Saccharomyces cerevisiae S288C: one gene and its partner. The gene in region 1 interacts genetically with each later gene. Each region holds a gene or a part of one and is shown on either strand. Other genes may lie near its edges. The genes, in order: TRM3 and ROM1.

What was found.
Region 2: mutations in TRM3 (region 1) and ROM1 together harm fitness more than expected from each alone (negative genetic interaction), as found in Saccharomyces cerevisiae (2 studies listed by BioGRID).

The regions. Positions count from the first base shown.
Region 1 is NC_001136.10:256,992-264,019, forward strand, and holds TRM3 (tRNA (guanosine(18)-2'-O)-methyltransferase), read left to right. Parts: upstream 1-1,923; coding exon 1,924-6,234; downstream 6,235-7,028. Other genes in the region: ATG20 (Atg20p), read right to left, coding at 1-1,564; exosome non-catalytic core subunit RRP42, read right to left, coding at 6,322-7,028. UniProt on the Saccharomyces cerevisiae protein: S-adenosyl-L-methionine-dependent 2'-O-ribose methyltransferase that catalyzes the formation of 2'-O-methylguanosine at position 18 (Gm18) in various tRNAs.
Region 2 is NC_001139.9:625,966-632,072, forward strand, and holds ROM1 (Rho family guanine nucleotide exchange factor ROM1), read left to right. Parts: upstream 1-1,840; coding exon 1,841-5,308; downstream 5,309-6,107. Other genes in the region: ART5 (Art5p), read right to left, coding at 1-1,119; ENV11 (Env11p), read right to left, coding at 5,516-6,107. UniProt on the Saccharomyces cerevisiae protein: Stimulates the exchange of RHO1 GDP-bound form into GTP-bound form.

The DNA of each region.
Region 1 (7,028 bases):
GTTCCAGATTAATAGTATGACTTTTAGACATTTCGTTGTCAATTATTTTGTCAACATCCTTATATTCATTGTTTTGCGCTTCCAGCTTCTCCAACTGTGCTCTTTTGGAATTCAGAGACTTTTTAATCATTTCATTTTGCAGGTATTTCAATTTTCTGTATTTGATCAATTCTCTTGCAGAAGTTGCCATATGAACAGATTCATTTAAAGGCTCATTTATATTGTAGTATAGTCTTCCAACTAATTTTTCTAAAGAAATCGAGGACCCCGAAAAGGCATTGCTTAAGTAAGAAAGCTGTTCGGCCAATTCCCCAACTTGAGCCTGTTCATGGGCAAACTGTGCAAATACCTCACCGATTTCATTGTAATCCGATTTCAAATCGTGATAAGTCTTCGTGGTTCGTCTATTATACTTATAAATCCCGTTATCTAACAAGTTCTCATATTGCTTGTAATCCTGTTCAATATTAGTAAACGACTTACTTCTTTCCTTATCCATTTTTTTGTCGTTGGACTCCTTATTCAACAATAACTGTGACGAGGAGCCCGGTATTGGTAACATGGCATGAATTCTAGTGGTGTTAGTGGGATCTAGTGGATTACACTGGAGGATGCTCTTCGGTAAAGATGAAAAAGTGGACGAACTGTTAACAAATTCATGCCAATTATGGTTATTAGGATCCAAAAAATCGGTAATTATAGATGTTTTTGTGATTTCTTCGTTCGTCAAAAGTTTGTTCAAGAACTCAGTGAGCATTCTTATCCTATGCCGTATTAACTTTTCATCACTATTATTGACCGACGCATGTATCACAGACAATGATAGATCTACTGAACCAGAACCTTCTGAGGGCAGCAAATACTTTGAACTCGAACCAGTTATTGACTTACCATAATTCTTTATTGACTGCTTTTCTGGAATCGGCGGTATCAACGTCATAGGAAACAATCTTATCAAGATACTTCTCAAACTCTCGAAATCGCTGTAACGTCTCTGAACGGTAGAATTTTCAAACTGAATAACATAGGCGATGTAGGCTCTTCCTTGACCTTCGGAAACTCTTTTCGCTTCAAGTATGTGTATCCTAGCGGACTTCTTTCTATTACTTACAGAAGGTTCTTCTGACGCAGAGGTCTCTCCGTTCATGGAGTTAATACTTCCACTAAGACTTGTTCTACATGTTTCTGCATTCGATTCTTGGTTTAAAGGCAATAATCCCTCAGAGTCATCCTCGTAATCTTCATTCGGGTTCTTTAGGTTATGGCTTCTCATACCGGGTATTTCTAATAAAGCTGATTTTGTGAATCCTGTTGGCCCCTCCTCCATGAATGGGTTGTCTTTTTCTAACAGGGCTGTGTGTACTAACTCAGTTTCTACTTTGTTATTGTCCCCCTTTCCAACCTTACCCTTTTTTGGGCTCTTTTTTGGCGATCCAACTCCATTCTTAGAAATTTCTGCCTCTGCCACATACTCAGTTGTCCCATGAGGTGGTTCAGCCTTTCCTGTATTCCGAGTTTCCGAATTCAATTTAGCATTTTCTTGGACATCATTTAAGTCTGACATTGTGTGCTGTAGAAGACAACTTTTCTAGATGGTATGTTCAATTGCACCACCAGTATTCGAGCTAGTCATCTCTTCATTTTGGAGATGACTTGCTGTAAATCGATAAATATTGGCTTACTCAATAGCCATATCTTAAAGGGGGCACAATGGGTGAGTTGTCGGGTAAGGGAATGTAGATCACGTGAATGAAAATTCAAGTGTTTTTCGAAAAGTTTCACCATGGCGATGAGCAAGATTGAAACAGCACTATTGTAACTATATAATTGCTAGTAAGCAAATAAGCCAAGCCTTATTAAAATCCGGTGAAAAGAATTGTTTAACGAACGTTACAAACTCTATACCTTTTTTTTACCAGCAAAATGGTTGGAGGTGCTCTCATCTGCAAATATTTACCACGCGAAGAGCAACTAAAGCTTATATCAGACTTGATTCAGAATGACAGCTTAGAAGAGGTGCTGGAGTTGATTGAAACTTCGCCACTGGATATAACGACGGACAGCAACATTGAAACACCAATCTTTGAAAAAATTACTGAGCAGGTCATTGCGTATGCTAGTATAGACGGTGAAGCCAGGGAAATGTTTCGCTCTTCGAGGGCTGAAATGAACAAGGCGCTAAGAACTTCTGCACAATTACTATGTTGTTTACCCAGTGTATGGCATAAATTTCAGGTGTGGATGAGCTACCGGTTAAATGACATCATTAGCGAAAACTATAAACATCTCTTCAATGACAACTTTGGAAAAAAGATTGTACAACCATTTTTCGATTCTTTTGCTGAGGAACAAAACGCTAATATCAAGCATGAAAATCTGCACTTAGATATCCTTAGCCTGCTTCACTACTTAGAAGTTGTATATTTATTTGACGAATGTAAGAATGGTATATCGTCCAAATGCCTAGATTTTATCATTGTTCCATTGTTAGGCTGTAATTCGGAAGAGATTGCTGATTCCTGCTCCAAGTTAATGAGATGGCATATCAAATATTTATCGAAATGCTGCAATACCGATAGTAACTTTGATAAGCTCATTTGGACATTTATCAAACAATTGTACGCTGAAGGCTCCCAACAAGCTTGGAAGCAAAAGAACAGTTTATCTTTTCTCCTAAGATTCCTTTTAGCAGCAGAGTTGTCTCCTGAACTTATTACTTATATAAAGACCGATGCTTATTGGAGGCACATTCAAACAGAGCTGGATAATGATGTGCACGAACACAGAAAATTGGCACTCTCAATTCTTAAATTAACAATTCAAAAACTGTCATCTCATGGTATAACATTGCAAACAACATTTTATAAATGCAATGATCTAGCAAATATCGAGATGCTGGGTAGCTGGAAGAAATTCACCACCTTATATGAAATGATTGCTCTGGACACATCATTGAATCAAATACAAGCGGCCAAACAAGATATAATAAAAATTTTTGATAACGAGCATTTACACCATAGTTGGGGCCTTATCTTGCTTTCTACGGGATTGAAATCATCAATGGAGAGTGTCAGAAAATACATGATGACGTTAATGTTCTCGATTACAAATATGTCAGCATTCTCTTCAAACTTGCCATTATTGACAAAAACTCTTCTTCCAGCTGCAATGTCCGCTCATTATTTTGATGTAAAAGGTGTCAGTTGTCCCCATGGTGAAAAACTTTCATTATTTGTCAATAACTTACTTTCCCAAACAACAGAAGGCATATCAGATATATTATTTGAAATTTTGAAATTATTGGTGGAAAAAGGGACCTCTTTTGACCCTTCTAGGATATACTTGTCCTACGGTATCTTAGTTTTCTTCCAGAATAACAAACAGAAAACAATCAACTCTGACCATTTGAGTCTGATCAGGAAATTGTACGATTTTGCAGCCGAAGAAGAGGTTCTCGAAACTACAATCCAAACAATTTACTTGAAGTTCTTACTGTACATTGATCCATCTGTCTCCGCATCTGAATTATTGTTTACATTAGTTTCACACATTAAGTTAAAGGGAGGGACATACAAATATGTTGAGCCTCTTTTTGAAGATTATAGGGATCTTGCCGTTTCTCACTTTGACGATTTGCAAGCGAAAGAAAACTTGACGACAAACATCGGAAAGGATACTATTTTTGACCTCTTAGCATCTATCATCTTCGATTTCAAGGATATTGATATTACTCCCGATTTTTTAATTGAAGTTGCGAAGTCGAAGCAAGATATACCCGTTTACACTTCAAAGGCAGTTACTTTTCTAACTCAGCTACTTTCAGGCGAACCTTCGAACGGTTATACCTATGAAAATGCAACCGCTTTGTTGTCTTACCCAAATTTTACAATATCTACATGGAAATCCATCAATGTGAATAATTTATTTAAGTCGGTAATGGAAAAATTTTCGCTTGATAAATTCAAGTTCTTTGCTGAAATTTACCAGAAGACTTATGAATGTAGGTTCGATACAATCGAGCTAAATTTTAATGACCTTCTGAGCCTATATGAAATGGTTAAAAAGTCTGCCAATCAGTGTTCAAGAGAGAGCTTTAAAGTGAAGGACAGCGCTTATTCTTCTTACTTTGAACTTTTAAATACCTTCCTGAAAACATACGCCTTAAATCGTGACTCTTCTGAAGGAAATGATGATGAGCTTCACATACTACTACGCTTAGTTGACGAGAATATTAACAAAGATAATGGGAATTATCTGGGGAACCTGGCAGTCTGTAAATTATTGTACTTTATCATAGATTCCTACATCCATTGCTCCACATCTGTTTCTGATGATGATATTTTCATAGTGAAATTCATTTTTGAGAAATTTTCGTTTATATGGGAATGTATTAATAGTGAAAGATTAGTTTTGAAGGAAAGGGATCTGCATTTGATGCTAATTAAGGGATTATTTCATCCTGTGATCCTGTACTTTGGATCAAATCAGTATATCGATACTTTGACCTCGAAGTTGGAGGAACATGCACAAACGATTATATCATTGAGTTATTCCAGAAGAAGCCTACTCCCTCTTCTCGGATCACAACTCAGAGTATTTATGAAGTTTTATGGGAAATTGTTAAGAGAAGATGTCAACTATTGGTGGTTGATTAACATTATAGTAGGTGTTTTCAAACAGCCGCAAATGGATGTCAACCTTTACAAGCTCAAACCTGTTATTTCCAGCCTATTTGACCACAAACTGAACAATTATTACATAAAAGGCGATGAACTTTATGAAAAGGTGTACGGACCCGACGAAATATTGGCTAGAGTATCTATTATTGATTCTATTTTATATGCAAATGATCAGTTGAAAATTCGATTAATCGAAAAAGTTACTGAAAAAACAAACGCACTTTATGCTATAAAGAGAACCGACGGTGCCGAAGCGTTACAGAGGTTGTTGCAGTGGCAATTGTTATTATTATCACTACTAACCACCAATGAAAAAAAATTAAGCGAAACTAGCATGATCAGAATTCTAAAGAGTATCGAGGATGAAAGTTCACCACTAGTAAGAGTATATAAAGAATGGTTCATTTCCTCAAAGGTTGTTGATTATTATAAAACTGGCAATCCAAAATTTGCTGAGGATTATCTCTTCTCATTGCTGGAGGATCATAGCAAACCGGTGTTTGTAGTTAGCGCAGAAAAAATATGCTTTATGGTGTTGAAAGATTTAAGAAACGACGAAAAGAAATATGGATTTACACAGTTACTAGACAGATTCATTTGCACGTTAGTTCCTAACGCAGCTTCAAACAAACCTCTGGTAAGGCATTTTTCTAATTCTCTAATAATTTCATTATGGCCTACATTCAAAGCCTACCTATCGGATCACACACTGAGAAACATCATTGAGAACTTATATTCCAATGCCAAAAAGACTCAAATATTTGGTCAATATCGTGCCGGGGATGCCAACATATGGGATCTGAAGGGTGATAGGAAATTAACGAACATGTTTGGTGGTGTGCTCAAAAAAGTTACCGACCATGATTGCCCGTACATTTCTGAGTCTGTTTTCGAAAAATATTTGCAGGAGAAAGATATTGTTCCTATAGGTACCGATGAAAGGTCCTTATGGCTTGATAAAAGAGACACCAATACGGAATCTGTTAACAACGCGAACATCTCCTGTGACACTTCTCCACTGCAAACAAAAAGTGGAGCTTGGGAAACCGTTCTGGATCTGGACAATAAAAAATCGAATGATGTCGTTACACGTTCTGAATTGATTGTGGTATCTTCATTAGTTGATAAGCCGCCAAACCTGGGAGGTATTTGTAGGTTATGTGATGTTTTAGGTGTGGGACTGCTTACTGTACAAGACATCAAAGTCAAAAACCATCCTCAATTTAAAAATGTTGCTGTGACTGCTGATAGATGGATGCCCATGGAGGAAGTTGCCCTAGATGAGATTGCAAGTTTCATGAAAGAGAAAAAGAAGGAAGGGTACACATTAATTGGGCTAGAGCAAACGGATAAATCAGTGAAGCTAGACAACAATTTCCAATTCCCTAAAAAATCATTGATCTTGCTAGGAACCGAAGCATTCGGTATTCCGGGGACTTTGTTAAGCGAATTGGATTTATGTTTAGAGATTCAACAATTTGGTGTGATCAGATCAATGAATATTCAAACGGCAACCGCAGTTATCGTTCATTCCTATACAGTTCAACACATGTAAGAATCAGGTTTCATTCCCACTTTTGTTAACCATGAAGTTTTTAGTATGTAAACTAATTTGTCTTTTTATCTAATTGTGACTATATTTTTATAAATTCTCCAGTGATCGTACTACGTCGGGGGCGTATTTCTCCACCATTGCAAGACCTTGCTTCAACAAATGAGGTTTAAAGCTTTTAACGTTTGAATCATTCAATGCTACTGATCTGATAGGTGATGTAATCTTACCATTAGACCAGGAAATGATTAGGCCATTATTGGCCACTTCGCTTTCGTTGGCTGCAGGGTCCAATAGCATATTGTTGCCTACAACGGCCAATATAAACACTAAAGGCGGATTAATGTCAAGCTTAACCATGTCGTAATCATGAAACGTAGGAAGTTCTTCCACCTCTAAGTCGTCAAAAGCTGAAATAAGTTTCGGTAGGTATGTGGAGTTCAACGCTGAATAAATAGCAAAGGATATTAAAGAAACTGGGTGTGAATGTGATGAAATGACCAGAACATCGACAAATATTTTGAAGCTGTACTTTTTTGTCAATTGCAACTTTGAGGAATCTACTCCGCTACCAGACTTCAAAACCTTGTTCAGTAAAGAAGTGATTGTCTCTACTACCAGCGCGTCATCTCTTTGGCCTGCGATATCTACATCGACCTGAAGTAGTTCATTCTCCACATGATGATCCACAACTTTGGACTTAATGCTCACGATACATTCACTTCCATCACTAGCTATAATTCTGGACGATCCATTGGAACTTGGTAGGAAGTCAGTAAATATTTCTATAGGTCTGA
Region 2 (6,107 bases), on another chromosome or scaffold:
CATTTCTATCCTATCCAAACGAATGTTCTTTTCGAAGGGGAAAATCTTAATCTTCACGGGGGTTGTGCTACCAATAGGAACAGCCCTACTCGGGATGGACGTTTCGTATTGCAACTTGTCACGCCAAGTATTACCCACGCTAATTTCTTCTTGCATGGCAAGATTGTCCATCGATAATGTACGAAGGATTCTGAGATACTTGAACTTTTTGATGATAATTTTATTCTTCGTTCTCATACCATTGCCGCTCGTACTTGTGCTACCGATTGGACCGTGAGGAGAAGTATGAACGCTCAGATCAGTATCCCATAACTGACGTCCATCTATAATGGCTTCAAAGGAATACAGTATGCTACCACTTTGTAGTCCCTCGATTGTTTCGCACACTTCTGGGGGGAGCATTGTATTGAAGGGTAGTTCGTAGTTGCCTCTTTTCATTAGGAATAAGTACGAACTTCCAGACCCGTCTCTGTTACTATAACTATGGCTATTGTTATTGAGGGTGTTACTACTACTGCTTCTACTACGGGCGTTTTCTCTTAAACCCTCGAAAGGGGTTCCTGTAACACCATTTTCTGGTAGCTCTAGTATTTTTCTGTGGGAAGAATGGGTCTTTCTTCGAATTATTTTGTTGAAAACAGGGCTCGAAAGTGATCTCTTGCTTAGAAATATTGCGTTGCCGCTGGTGTCCATATCTTGGTTGCTTGTACTGCGACCGCTACTACTGTTATGTTGATTTTCCGCATTTTCCCCACCGACTAAAACATCCCCTTTTGAAGAAACCAATAAGTTGTCCCAATAGCATTCGAAAATCTTACGCTTTTCCTTAACTAGACTTGCCAAACTACTGCTATTCTTCTTATATCGGCCAACTTGCAAAAACTCCAATTTGAATCTTCCTACCAATCTCAGCGAAATTTTCTTCACTACGATCTCATTTTTCACTGAAATCACTAAGTTTCCTGATAAAGGTATAGACGACAGTTCCAACGGTGACCCTTGGATCAAAATTATGTCCTTGTACGGGGAGTTTATTCTAATATCAAAATAACTTATTCTCTCTCTTTCCTTCTGCTCTGAATGCCCACCGCTGCTAGATAGCGAACTAAGTGAAAACATGGTCTTGCTTCACCCTATTCTCGCCGAGAGCTGTACAAGATATTTTTTACTTTTGCCATCTTATACTCATCCTAATCATCTGTTTCATTTTCCTTCTATTTCTTTTTTTTTTTTTTTTTTTTTTTTTTTTTTCAGTTTTCGAAGAAACTGCCTTTTTAGAATTGTAAAAGACGAAGTGAAGTATTCAGGAGTATATTATTACATACATACAAAGCAAGACAAAGAAACATTTTTAGATCTAACATTTTACTTCAATTGTTTTTGTATTCCTTATAATAAGAAAGACCTGCTGTTTAATGTGGGAGTAATCCGTCCCCTACTCGATCTTCAATAAATTGTCATCTTGTATCTAAAGGAGCGCTCCAGTACTCCAATTAAGCACCACCTAGTGCGTCTAGTGTCGATTTTTTTTTCACGCATACGTTTGTATGTTTCTTAAATTTCCCATGATTTTTTGTTGCCAATGTCATATCTACAAACTCTATACGAAAGTAAACGCACTTCATCTTTTTTGCCCTAAAACGGCAATATTTAGACATATCATAAGGGGCCCAAGGGAGAATCGTTAATTTTAAACTTTTCTTTGCTCTTGAATGAAAAAGTAAATAAATAAAACTAAATCAAAAAAAAGAACGCCACGTTTGAATTTTAAAGCAAAAATTTTGTTGATTTAGTAATGATATAAATAAAACCAAGTCGTTGGTAAGAATTTGGTTAGGTTATGAATAGTAATGAACTGGATCTAAGAAATAAATATTTTTATGAGATATTCGGTAAGAAAAGAAAATCAGATACTTCAACCCCTACTCAGTTGTTCTCCGGCTCCAAAGTTCAGACAAACATCAATGAAATTTCTATCACTAACGATGAGGATGAAGATAGTACTGAAGATGAAAATAAGGCTTCATTGAAGGATTATACACTAGGGCACGACACCGGTGCACGGTATAGGATAGCACCGGACTGTTCTTCCCACCAATTAAAGGCATCTCCTGTCCTACATATTTCAACAAACCTTAATTCAAGTCCACAATCCTTCACAGGCGATCAGATTTCACCTACTAATAAAAAAATTTCAATAAATGATTCGACCAGACAAGATAAAGGTAACAGTTGCACTACCACTTCATCACCTTCTCAAAAAAGATCGAATGTTTTGCTTCCTCACGTAAGAAAACATTCATCTCCTTCACTATTATCATTTTCCAAAAACAGTGGCAGTCATATGGGGGATCCAAACCAGCTATCTACGCCTCCAACTCCCAAAAGTGCAGGTCACACGATGGAGTTACACAGTTCATTCAATGGAAAACATAGTTCTTCTAGCACCTCTTCTTTATTTGCATTAGAGTCACTGAAAACCCAAAATAGACGCTCATCAAACTCTTCCAATCATTCTAGTCAATATCGACGCCATACTAATCAACACCAACGTCATCATTCAAGGTCCAAATCAAGTCCTGTCTCTCTGACGGAAATATCCATGATCAAAGGCACGCCTTTGGTTTATCCTGCACTTTTATCACTAATAGCAATTAAATTCAAACAGACCATCAAATTGAGCACGCATAAAAAGATGGGGTTACTTTACAGAGATTCCTTTACAGGAAAACAAGCAATTGATACTTTATGCTTGATCATAGGAAGCTTAGATCGTAATTTGGGCATGTTGATCGGAAAATCGCTGGAAGCTCAAAAATTGTTCCATGACGTACTTTATGACCATGGCGTAAGAGATTCTGTACTGGAGATTTACGAGTTATCTTCAGAATCAATTTTTATGGCACATCAGTCGCAGAGTTCTACTTCAATTGCCAACACATTTTCTTCATCATCTTCTTCAGTTAATTCGCTCCGTACTAAAACTGAAATATATGGTGTTTTTGTCCCATTGACACATTGTTATTCCTCTACATGCTCTCTGGAAAAACTTTGCTACTCTATTTCTTGCCCCAATCGTTTGCAACAACAGGCTAATTTACATTTAAAATTAGGTGGTGGTCTTAAGAGAAATATTTCGTTAGCACTCGATAAGGAGGATGATGAACGAATTTCCTGGACAAATTCTGTACCAAAGAGCGTATGGGAATCATTATCCAAACAACAAATCAAAAGGCAGGAGGCAATATATGAGTTGTTTACTACAGAAAAGAAGTTTGTAAAATCTTTGGAAATCATCCGAGATACTTTCATGAAGAAATTATTAGAAACGAATATTATTCCATCTGATGTAAGGATAAATTTTGTAAAGCACGTTTTCGCACATATCAATGAAATATATTCTGTCAATAGAGAATTTTTGAAGGCTTTAGCACAAAGGCAATCATTAAGCCCAATTTGTCCTGGAATTGCAGATATATTTTTGCAGTATCTTCCTTTCTTTGATCCTTTTCTGTCATACATAGCATCAAGACCATACGCAAAGTATCTAATTGAAACCCAAAGATCAGTTAATCCCAATTTTGCTCGTTTTGACGATGAAGTGTCTAATTCTTCCCTGAGGCATGGGATCGATTCATTCCTATCTCAGGGTGTTTCAAGACCTGGTAGATATTCACTGTTGGTAAGAGAAATAATACACTTCTCGGACCCAGTAACAGACAAAGATGATCTACAAATGCTAATGAAAGTCCAAGATCTTTTAAAGGATCTAATGAAAAGGATTGATAGAGCAAGCGGTGCAGCACAAGATCGTTATGACGTTAAAGTGTTAAAGCAGAAAATTCTATTCAAAAATGAATACGTTAATCTGGGTTTGAATAACGAAAAAAGGAAAATCAAGCATGAAGGTTTACTCTCAAGGAAGGACGTGAACAAAACAGATGCGTCCTTTTCAGGAGACATTCAATTTTACCTACTCGACAATATGCTATTATTCTTGAAATCAAAAGCTGTAAACAAGTGGCACCAACACACTGTATTTCAGAGACCAATTCCACTCCCTTTACTGTTTATTTGTCCGGCTGAGGATATGCCACCCATAAAAAGATATGTGACAGAAAACCCAAATTGCTCAGCGGGTGTGCTCTTACCCCAATATCAAACGAGCAATCCCAAGAATGCTATTGTATTCGCCTATTACGGTACGAAACAACAATATCAAGTTACTTTGTACGCGCCGCAGCCGGCCGGATTACAGACATTAATAGAAAAGGTGAAACAAGAGCAAAAAAGGCTCCTTGATGAAACTAAACATATTACTTTTAAGCAAATGGTAGGTCAATTCTTTCACTCATACATAAATACTAATCGCGTCAACGATGTCCTAATCTGTCATGCTGGTAAAATTTTATTGGTTGCAACAAATATGGGACTCTTTGTTCTTAATTATGCTACATCGATCAATCAAAAACCAGTGCACCTTCTGCACAAAATATCAATTTCACAGATCTCTGTATTGGAAGAATATAAAGTTATGATTCTTCTAATTGACAAAAAACTGTACGGCTGTCCTTTAGACGTAATCGACGATGCAGAAAATGCAGATTTTCTTTTCAGAAAAAATTCTAAAGTGTTATTTAAATATGTTGCAATGTTCAAAGACGGTTTCTGTAATGGTAAAAGAATCATTATGATTGCACATCATTTTTTGCACGCCGTACAATTATTGATTGTTAATCCTTTGATATTTGATTTTAATAGCGGTAATTTTAAAAAAAACCTAAAGGCAGGCTTGGTAGATTTTAGCGTTGATTCTGAACCTCTGTCCTTTTCTTTTTTGGAGAATAAGATCTGCATTGGTTGTAAAAAAAATATCAAAATATTAAACGTACCGGAAGTGTGTGATAAAAATGGATTTAAAATGAGGGAGCTTTTAAATCTACATGATAACAAAGTTTTAGCGAACATGTATAAAGAGACGTTCAAAGTAGTTTCCATGTTTCCGATAAAAAATTCAACTTTTGCATGTTTTCCAGAACTCTGCTTTTTTCTCAATAAGCAAGGGAAGAGGGAGGAGACAAAGGGATGTTTTCATTGGGAGGGGGAACCAGAACAGTTCGCGTGTTCCTACCCTTATATTGTGGCAATTAATAGTAACTTTATTGAAATTAGACATATAGAAAATGGAGAACTTGTCCGCTGTGTACTTGGAAACAAGATACGTATGTTAAAATCATATGCCAAGAAGATCTTATATTGTTATGAGGATCCTCAAGGATTTGAAATTATCGAACTGTTAAATTTTTGAGTTGACCGCCCATATTAATACCTTAAAACTTATTTCTTGAACCTATACATCTAAATTTAAGTAATATTATTTTATTTGTATAACCATATGTAGTTTACCTGAAATATATGGGTGCCATTAAGAAAATATAATACAATGGACAAGAATTTTGTCCTAGAAAATAAAGTCTTGAAAGTATATTGTCCTTTCCTTTGGAATATTATGTCACTAGCAAGCATCGAAAATTGATCCAGAGTGAAAATTAATTTTTTCGAGATTAAACTGTGAATTCAAAAGTTTGATTTTAATTGTTTCCTCACTCAACTTGGTACTGAAGTCTTGATTAGCTGTTAGAGAAGATAATTCTGACCGTATTGAAGATGTCGAATTTACTGAAAGCAACTGAAGTAAAATATCGATTACTTCAATCTTGTTTTTACTGCTTATGTAATTATTCCAAATTGAATCCGAGATAGGAATATGAATATCAAATGTCTCTTCCATGGGATTTAGGCACCATTCCCCCGAGTTAGAGTCGTTTTCCTCAGATAACTCATGTTTTGTAAAGTGAGATCCATCGAAGCTAATATCATTATCATTTAAGTAGTCATGGTATGCATTAGGCAGCTCATGCGCAATTCTGTTGACATAGCGTAATAGATCATCCCGAATGATTTGGACAAGTAATGAATCTTCTGTTAGTGGTGCGGTTAACTTGGTGTTACATAAAAGCTCTACGTCCCGTGATTCTTTCATAAAAATGGCCTCGTAGTCAGAAAGAAGATTATTACCGGAATTCCGACCGCTCTCCCCACCACTA